Linked DNA regions of Oryzias latipes. Each later gene encodes a partner of the first gene's protein in a complex. Links are inferred from orthologs where the notes say so. Each region holds a gene or a part of one and is shown in the gene's direction. Other genes may lie near its edges. The genes, in order: exosc3 and exosc5.

Region 1 (3,899 bases):
TCCATGTGCTCACCAGAGGTAGCCTGACTGTCATTAGGTACTGAGATGAGATTCTCTGACCCCTTGTGAGACCGCATGTTGGTGCGATTGGCCCTGGGTTCCTCCTAAAGTAAGACAGTGCTAGGCCTCATGTGGCTGGAGTGTCAGCAGTTTCTGCCAGACGAAGCTAATGATGTCATGGACTGGCCCGCACACTTTCCAGACCTGAATGCAATTGAGCACATCGGGGACATCATGTCTCGTCCATCCACTAACTCCTGGTTGCACCCCAGACTGTCCAGGAGTTAGCAGATGCTTTGGTCCAGGCGTCAGAGAAGATCCCTTGGAGGACCACCCGCTGCCTCATCAGAAGCGTACCCAGGCATTGCAGGGGAATCATATGGGCATGTGGAGGCCACGCCCACTACTGAGCCTCATTTTGACTTGTTTCAAAGAAATTACATTGAAGTTGGATCAGCATGTAATGTTCACACATCCAGACATCCATAGCCGAATAGTTTTAATTTCCATTACTATTTTTATTTTATTGTGTTGTCAGGACATGCAAATATGTAAAGAATGAAGCATTTCAAAAGAATATTTCATTTGTTCAGGCATAGCATGTCTTTTTTAGTGCTCCTAAATCGTTTGAGTTGTGTACGTGTGTGTGGGTGTGTCTGTGTGTTACACTATTGAGACATTTTTATACTACTTTTTGTTTCTGTAGAAAATTATTTTACCTTTTTTCAAAGACGATTATTTTAGAGGAAATTTGGTGAGACCTGGATTTATCCAAAACGTTTTGAAAGGTGTGTCCTTTAAACAGGAAAATTCTTATAATTTAGAAAGCGCTATTGTTCCTCCTGGTCACCAGGGGGCGCAAAGTAAGGATCTGATATAAACAACAAAAAGAAGAAGACGACCATGAGCACGACAGGAGGCATGTTCGCCGTTCTGAAGGAGAAAGTTGGACAGGTTCTGGTTCCGGGGGACGAGTTCTGCTTTGGTGCAGAGGAAACGATCTCTCTGTCGGAGAGCGCGAAGCCGGAGCGCGCGGTGTGTGGACCAGGGCTGCGGCGGAGCGGAGACCGCCTGGTGGTGATGAAGAGCGGCGTGCTGCGGCACAAACCGCCGCTCACCTTCTGGATCGATTCCCAGCAGAAGCGGGTAAGAGCGGACCGGTCCGAACCAAAGGTTCTGAGATCCCAACAAACTGCGTTCAGCGGTCCAGAGACGTGTTTAGAGCATTAATGTGAAGCGGTCCGGTCACAACCAGCATTCAAACACAACTTTATTGATAGCACTTCCTGATGAAATCCACCTCAAGTGCTTTATATAACAAATAGTAAAAATATCAGTTACAAATAACAAAGTATAATCAAATAAAAACCAAATACGCGTCAAGCTAATACATCAAAATAAACTAAATTAATTATTTATCAAATTAAAACATATGGACTGATACAGAGATATGGGTTTTGATTCGATGCACTCAACTAACCAAGAATTTAAAAAAATCCACACATGATCTGCGTATTTTCAATTTAGACCCAGATTATTTATGCAAACACAAGTTTCATTTTTGCAAACTTGTGTTTGCTTAAATAATGTACTTTGTTGTGAATAAATGTGTCCGCGTGCGTTCGTTCCATTGATCCTTAGGACAGTGTTTTTCAACCTTTTTTGAGCCACGGCACACTTTAACCCTGAAAAAAATCCCGCGGCACACCATCATCCAAAAAAAAAAAAAAAAGCAGAAATTCATGGTCTGTATTGATCGACAGCGCCCCCCCCCCCCGCAATCTCACGTGAATTTTTGTGATAATTGTGGCAGAAAAAGCAGGAATTTGCGGCTGTTTTTTTCTAAGAGATGAACCACCAGCTAAAGCTCGTCTTTAGCTGGTATATTTGTTAGAACTGAGCGACTTTATCAGCAGAATTAAGAACAAGGAAGTGAAGACTTTAAGCACTTCTGATTGGTCAGACTGATGACATGTGATTAAGCCTTCAAGAATGATTGGCGGAGACAGTTAAAGGGGCGGGACTTTTCCTTACACAGTTAGAGCTGCAGCTAAATCGCGGTACCGTGATTTTTATCAAAATCTCTTTAATAGAATTAAATAAACACAAAGAAAAAGTAATTTTAAGATCTTTTATATTCCTAACTACTCAGTGTTTTATCAGGGCCTGTTTGGATGAACACAGAGCTGAAATCCTGGAGATGGAAAATGTTTTTAGATCAGTTAATGAGGGCAATTTCTCCACGGCGCACTTGACCATCTCCCACGGCACACTAGTGTGCCGCGGCACACTGGTTGAAAAACACTGCCTTAGGAGAATCGTAGTGTGACGTCACCCATACAAATGGCTTACTGGCTCAAAGATGAAACAAACAGAGATGCTTGTCCTCCCCGAGCAGCAGCAGGTGAGCAGCAGAGTAGAGAACCGCCCCGTGTACTGATGATGGGTTGGTTGGCAGTGAAACATCTCTAAAGTCGGATCTTGGCGTTTACTATATTATTTCACCCATTTTGACTTAATTATTCTCTGTGCTGCACATGACTGCGTCTCTGGTCAGCGTGAGTTGGCGCTCAATGCACTCTGCAGGTGGGTGCTGGGGTGGTGTTGGTCCAGTAGACCTGCAGCTGCTCAGAACTGCACAAACGCCAGACGTATAGAGAGAGAGACAGGCACAACTCATTGTCATGGAATACCTTAAGTCAGAGAAAATGAACATGGAGGCATTAAATAATTCTTTGTGTTTTTAAAAGAGTGGATTCGACAGATGTGATCATAGGCGTAACTGATTTGTTTCCACATCTCACTTTGAGCAGTGGCCTATAGACCACATGTGTTGTAACTTTTTTGTGTATTTTTTCACATTGTTGTCTGAATTCTAATAAAACCAGGTTATGTCTTGAGCCAGGTTCAAATTTGCACAAGGTCATTTCTCTGAATATAAAGTTATATGAATGACAAGAGGATCTTGTTTGTGAAAACTGTTTTTTGCCTTGAGAATCTGTATGTGAGAGGAAAAAAAGTGGAGTAACCGGTAGGCAATTACCGTACTAAATAGGTGAGTAAAGTAATTTAATTACAATTTTGTAACACTAAGTAAACAGTTACTTTTTAGAAGTCATTTTCCCAACACTGATGCCAATATGACGTCACCCGTTTCCCTAAATAGAAAGGTAATAAATATGAACATTTTATGACGACTTTATGAATCTACTGTGTTCTGATGATGAAAACCTAATGGTTTATAAAAAATAGTGGCCAATCAGGAGTGAGCTTGTTTGAAGGTCACACCCCTATCACTTGAAAGCAGGCTACATAAAATCTGTCAAATGTTTCACACATTCAATGTGAGAAGTTATGTCAATGGGATTTTGGCTTCTTGGAGCCAGCGGGTTCTTCCTGTTTGGAGCATGAGGAGGGAGGGGTCCTTCAGTCCAGTTCTCGAATAGTCAATGGTTTGTTCTCCTCAGTATGTCGCCACTAAAGGGGAGACCGTGATCGGGATCGTGACGGCCCGAGCAGGAGACACCTTCAGGGTGGACTTTGGCGGCAGCGAGCTGGCGTCTCTGTCTTACCTGGCGTTTGAAGGAGCCACCAAGCGAAACCGACCCAACGTCCAGGTGAGTGTGGGTGGGGCTCTGTGTGCAGTCTGCTGTGTGCAGTCACTCCAAGGAGCCACTCCTGTGGAGCTCAGCACTGCAAGGACCGTTTTATTTGCCATCTGAGTCCATCTAGAGCAGCGGTCTCCAACCCCCAGGCCGTACAGACAGAATAAATAACTTACAGTGCTTCCTTTTTATTTATTTTGGAATCTGACAGATGTTTTATTTTGAAAAATTGCCAGATTCTCTGTTCCATCCGTCAATGTCACTCCTGGCGCAGGCCAAGGCTCTCTTTTCTGT
Region 2 (3,924 bases), on another chromosome or scaffold:
ATTGACTAGCAGGAATGCACATACCTGGAGGCCACTGCTGCCATGTTCTCAGTAGCTCTGGCCACAGCGTGAGCCGCTGCCTCCAGCCGGGTGAACTGCTCTGGCTCATGTTCACTGTCGCACAGCAGCACGAGGAGACAAAGGTGACTGGAGATTGGGGCAACCACTTTCTCCACTGCTGCAGTTTTGATAAAACTTTGATCCAGACATGAAGGCATAGTTTCATTTATCGGTGAATTCTTCCCTCTGCGAAAGAATTAGCTGTGCTGCATGTATTATTTATCATGCTACACAAAGTGCCATATGGCAGTTCCCCATAGCAACTGTTGTCACAACGTTATTTAGAATTAATAACATATAAATCATCATTTCTGACATTATTCATTGATTATTGACTGCAGTGGTGGTTCTGCACTAACTTACTCCCAGGGAGAGTAACTCCCCAGTGCAATTTGACGTTCTTTTGTGTTCCCTATTTTTATTTGGCCATTTTACACAAAAGATGCGTGAATTTTGTGGGCTCGTATTACGGGGGTGTCAAACTCACTCACACAGGGGGCCTAAACAGAAAACATGCTTTAAGTTGGGGGCCCAACAACATTTATTTACCAAACTAAAGCTACACTTTAAAAAACAAAACAAAAAATACTTTTAAACCTTTATAACAGAGGTTTTTTAACATAAAAATGAATAAAAACAGACAGTATTGTTAATCCAGAATAAATCAAGTTAAACCGTTAATAACGGTGCTCTCCATAAAAATATATTCAGTCAAAATTATACAAATATGAACATGCTGCAGAACAAAATAAACAAAGTCTGGAAATATTTAATTCAAATTATTCCGTTTTATTTGCTGTTTTGTCAAATTTTTTGTCAGCAAGTAAGTTCATTTCTGCTTGCTGTGTGACGTGCTGTGTGTGTCTTTGTGAAACGTATCAAAGGGATTTGATTTTTTTTTAAACTGCTATTATGAAAACCATTTATAGGTCTTATAAAACATTAAAAACTAAATCATATAACTCCTCACTGGAATTAATCAAAGTTTATTTTGGCATTTTCCTAATTTTGTGCAACACCAACAGTAAAAATTCTCCAAAAAGCCTTAATTCATTCATTAACAAATGATCCATTGTTTATGTCTAATCTCAAAAAGTGCAGCTGTTTTACTGCCTGCATTACCTGCTGTCTTTATGTCAAATACTGACACCAATTAAATGACAGGCATACGTAAAAAATACATTTTATATGGAAAATAAAGACACGTAATAAAAGTGTCCAACAACAACAATAGCAATAATCATAATAATAATAATAATAATGTTAATAATATATTTTTTAAACTACTTACTTTGTTGTTGACTTTCTGACTGTTTTTTATTGAACACAAAATTTAAAACACAACATTGGTTTTGATGCAGAGCCCCTTCGCGTCGGTAAATAGATGACGTCATCGTCCAGCGACGCATCCCCTTCCGTGTTGGCAACGTGATGGAGGTTTCTGCTCCTTCAAATGTTTCTCTCCGAGAGTTTGGCTGCGAGCAGAGTTTACTTTCTCGGCCGGATGGATCTGCGTCTTTCGTTCAAGGTAACAGCTGAAGGAAAATGTTGACTTTTTTCTTTAAGAATATGAGTACAACTCCCGATTCCGCCCAAAGAATTATGGACAAACTTATTATTTCAGAGAAATAATTTGACTCTCGACTGCTGGCAAACGATCTTTAAATGAGTTTTAAGCTAAGAATGTCCTAAAGTACTTTTTGTATTTGCTTTATTTTGGTTTTGCATTAGTTTTAGCTCTTGGTAAATGTTGTAAAATTGTTAATATTCAAGAACAAAAATGAGCAGCTAAATAATAACTAAATATTTTTACGAACTTATCTTTTCACATTTAGTTTTTTGTAATCAAAAGTCAACTGCTGTTAAACCATTAAGAAGCCAAACATTTGAAAAATAATTTCTAGTCATTTTTCTATAAATAAAGATGTTGAAATGTTGGATTCATCTGTTTTACTTTCTGTGTTCAGATCAGCTCTCTCAAATTTAAATATTTATTTCTTGGTTTACTCATCCTCTTTTTTTCATTCCCCAAATCATCTTTGAATATTTGTATCCTAGTGGTCATTGTGAACTGTTTACATCGCCGGCATCGGACTGTATAGTCTGGGGTCTTGGAGCAACATTTTTTCAAAGATTTTCTAATAATTTCCCTATAAAAGTTTTTTTTTGGGGTAATGCTTTAAATTATTTTTTTAATATGACCCCATCTTCTTTTTTATTCTTTTTTTTCAAGATATTGTTTAATATAGTGTATGGGATAGGCTCCAGCAGGCCTGTGACCCTGAAAGAGACAAAACGGGTTTAGAAGATGAATGAATTATATACTATGTAATAATTCTACAGTAAACCTGAAACTGAACCAAAACCACCACTCTAAGCAGCAGATTTGGTCATGCATTTACTGCAAGATTTACACTGTTTTTATGTTTTATAGCCAAGATCAAAGTTTACAGACACAATAAGAATGTAGAAATCACATCATTGTTTCAGGTTTGTCCTCTATTTTAATAGAACTTTGATCTTTGTGTTGTTTTTGTGTCTCTGGAGGGGACACGAGTGTGATGGCTGGAGTTTATGGACCTGCTGAAGTAAAGGTCAGTAAGGAGATCTACGACCGAGCAACTCTGGAGGTGCTGGTTCAGCCCAAAGTTGGTCTGCCGAGTAAGTTCTGCTGCATGTCCTGGAAAAGTCAGATGCTGTCACGTGTGTCTGGTTTTTCTGAAACCAATTCAATCCTTTTTGTTTTTAATCTGTTGTAGAAAAAAAGCAAAAACAACTACTAATCCTTGTTTTTGTTGCTCTAAAATGAATAAATCCAGCTTTAAAGAAGGAAGTCTGTTAAATGTAGAGACAATTATAATCACTTTCAATGGATTCAAATGTTTATATGCAAATATCCTCTTAAGCCTGGTTTCATTCATGTCTTTGGGTTGAATGGAAATCACAGATGCTGTTTTATTTCTACTGAATCACAGTAAAAAGATGAACTTCCTCAGGTCTCATGTGGGTTTTAGTTTCATCTGAAGGCTCACTCGTATCTCAACAGTTCTGCAATTTATAAATAAGCATTAAGACAAAGGTCCGATCAAGGTATTAAAGTCTTTCTTTAGGAATGTTTTGTGCAACTGATTTATAGGATTACGCCATAAGGGGGAGCCAGTGGATTCCTTATCAGCTTTGAACTCATATCCCATCATGCCTCTGTTTTCCAGGTGTGAGGGAGCGCTCGCAGGAGCAGTGTGTGCGTGAAACCTGCGAGGAGGCGCTGCTGCTCACCCTCCACCCTCGATCTTCGCTCACGCTGGTCCTCCAGGTGCTGCACGACGACGGCTCTGTATCCTTTACTAAACCCGACCTCTGAACCCGCGGGGGGCGTGGCCTAGCACCTGCCGAGTCGTCTTCCTTACCTGCTCTGCAGCTCCTGTCCTGCTGCCTGAATGCAGCCTGCATGGCCCTCATGGACGCAGGTCTGCCGATGAGCTGCCTCTTCTGCGGCGTGACCTGCGCCATCAGCGCATACGGGCAGATCATCACTGACCCCACCTCAGCTCAGGAAAAGGTCAACCAAAGATGCTGACACTAACCTGAAAATCTTCATTTTTGCTGCTTTGAATGTAGAAATATAATCAGAAAGCAAGTTTAACAAAAAGTTCTCAATTTATGGTTTAATTTTCATGAAAAAAAGTCACATTTCATAGAATCCCTAAAACATGGATGTCGGTTTTCATCAGATCACACCCCTGACCTAACTTTACTGGTGAAACAAAAATCCAGCTGTGTAGTTTAGATCCAGATTCCAGCTCAGGGGAGGATAAACAAATTTAAAGGCTAATAAAAATTCTAACTTTGCTAAAAAAAAATGGG

Evidence for each region.
Region 2: exosc3 (region 1) and exosc5 share a complex: the UniProt entries of both Homo sapiens proteins name them as parts of the RNA exosome core complex. The link is inferred for Oryzias latipes from reciprocal best matches to the Homo sapiens genes EXOSC3 and EXOSC5.

What each region holds. Positions count from the first base shown.
Region 1 is NC_019868.2:3,164,008-3,167,906, forward strand, and holds the start of exosc3 (exosome complex component RRP40), read left to right. Parts: upstream 1-871; 5' UTR 872-903; coding exon 904-1,146; intron 1,147-3,467; coding exon 3,468-3,617; intron 3,618-3,899. UniProt on the Homo sapiens protein: Non-catalytic component of the RNA exosome complex which has 3'->5' exoribonuclease activity and participates in a multitude of cellular RNA processing and degradation events.
Region 2 is NC_019873.2:26,313,119-26,317,042, reverse strand, and holds the start of exosc5 (exosome complex component RRP46), read left to right. Parts: upstream 1-1,445; 5' UTR 1,446-1,491; coding exon 1,492-1,588; intron 1,589-2,607; coding exon 2,608-2,721; intron 2,722-3,272; coding exon 3,273-3,394; intron 3,395-3,478; coding exon 3,479-3,619; intron 3,620-3,924. Other genes in the region: catenin alpha-1-like, read right to left, coding at 25-218. UniProt on the Homo sapiens protein: Non-catalytic component of the RNA exosome complex which has 3'->5' exoribonuclease activity and participates in a multitude of cellular RNA processing and degradation events.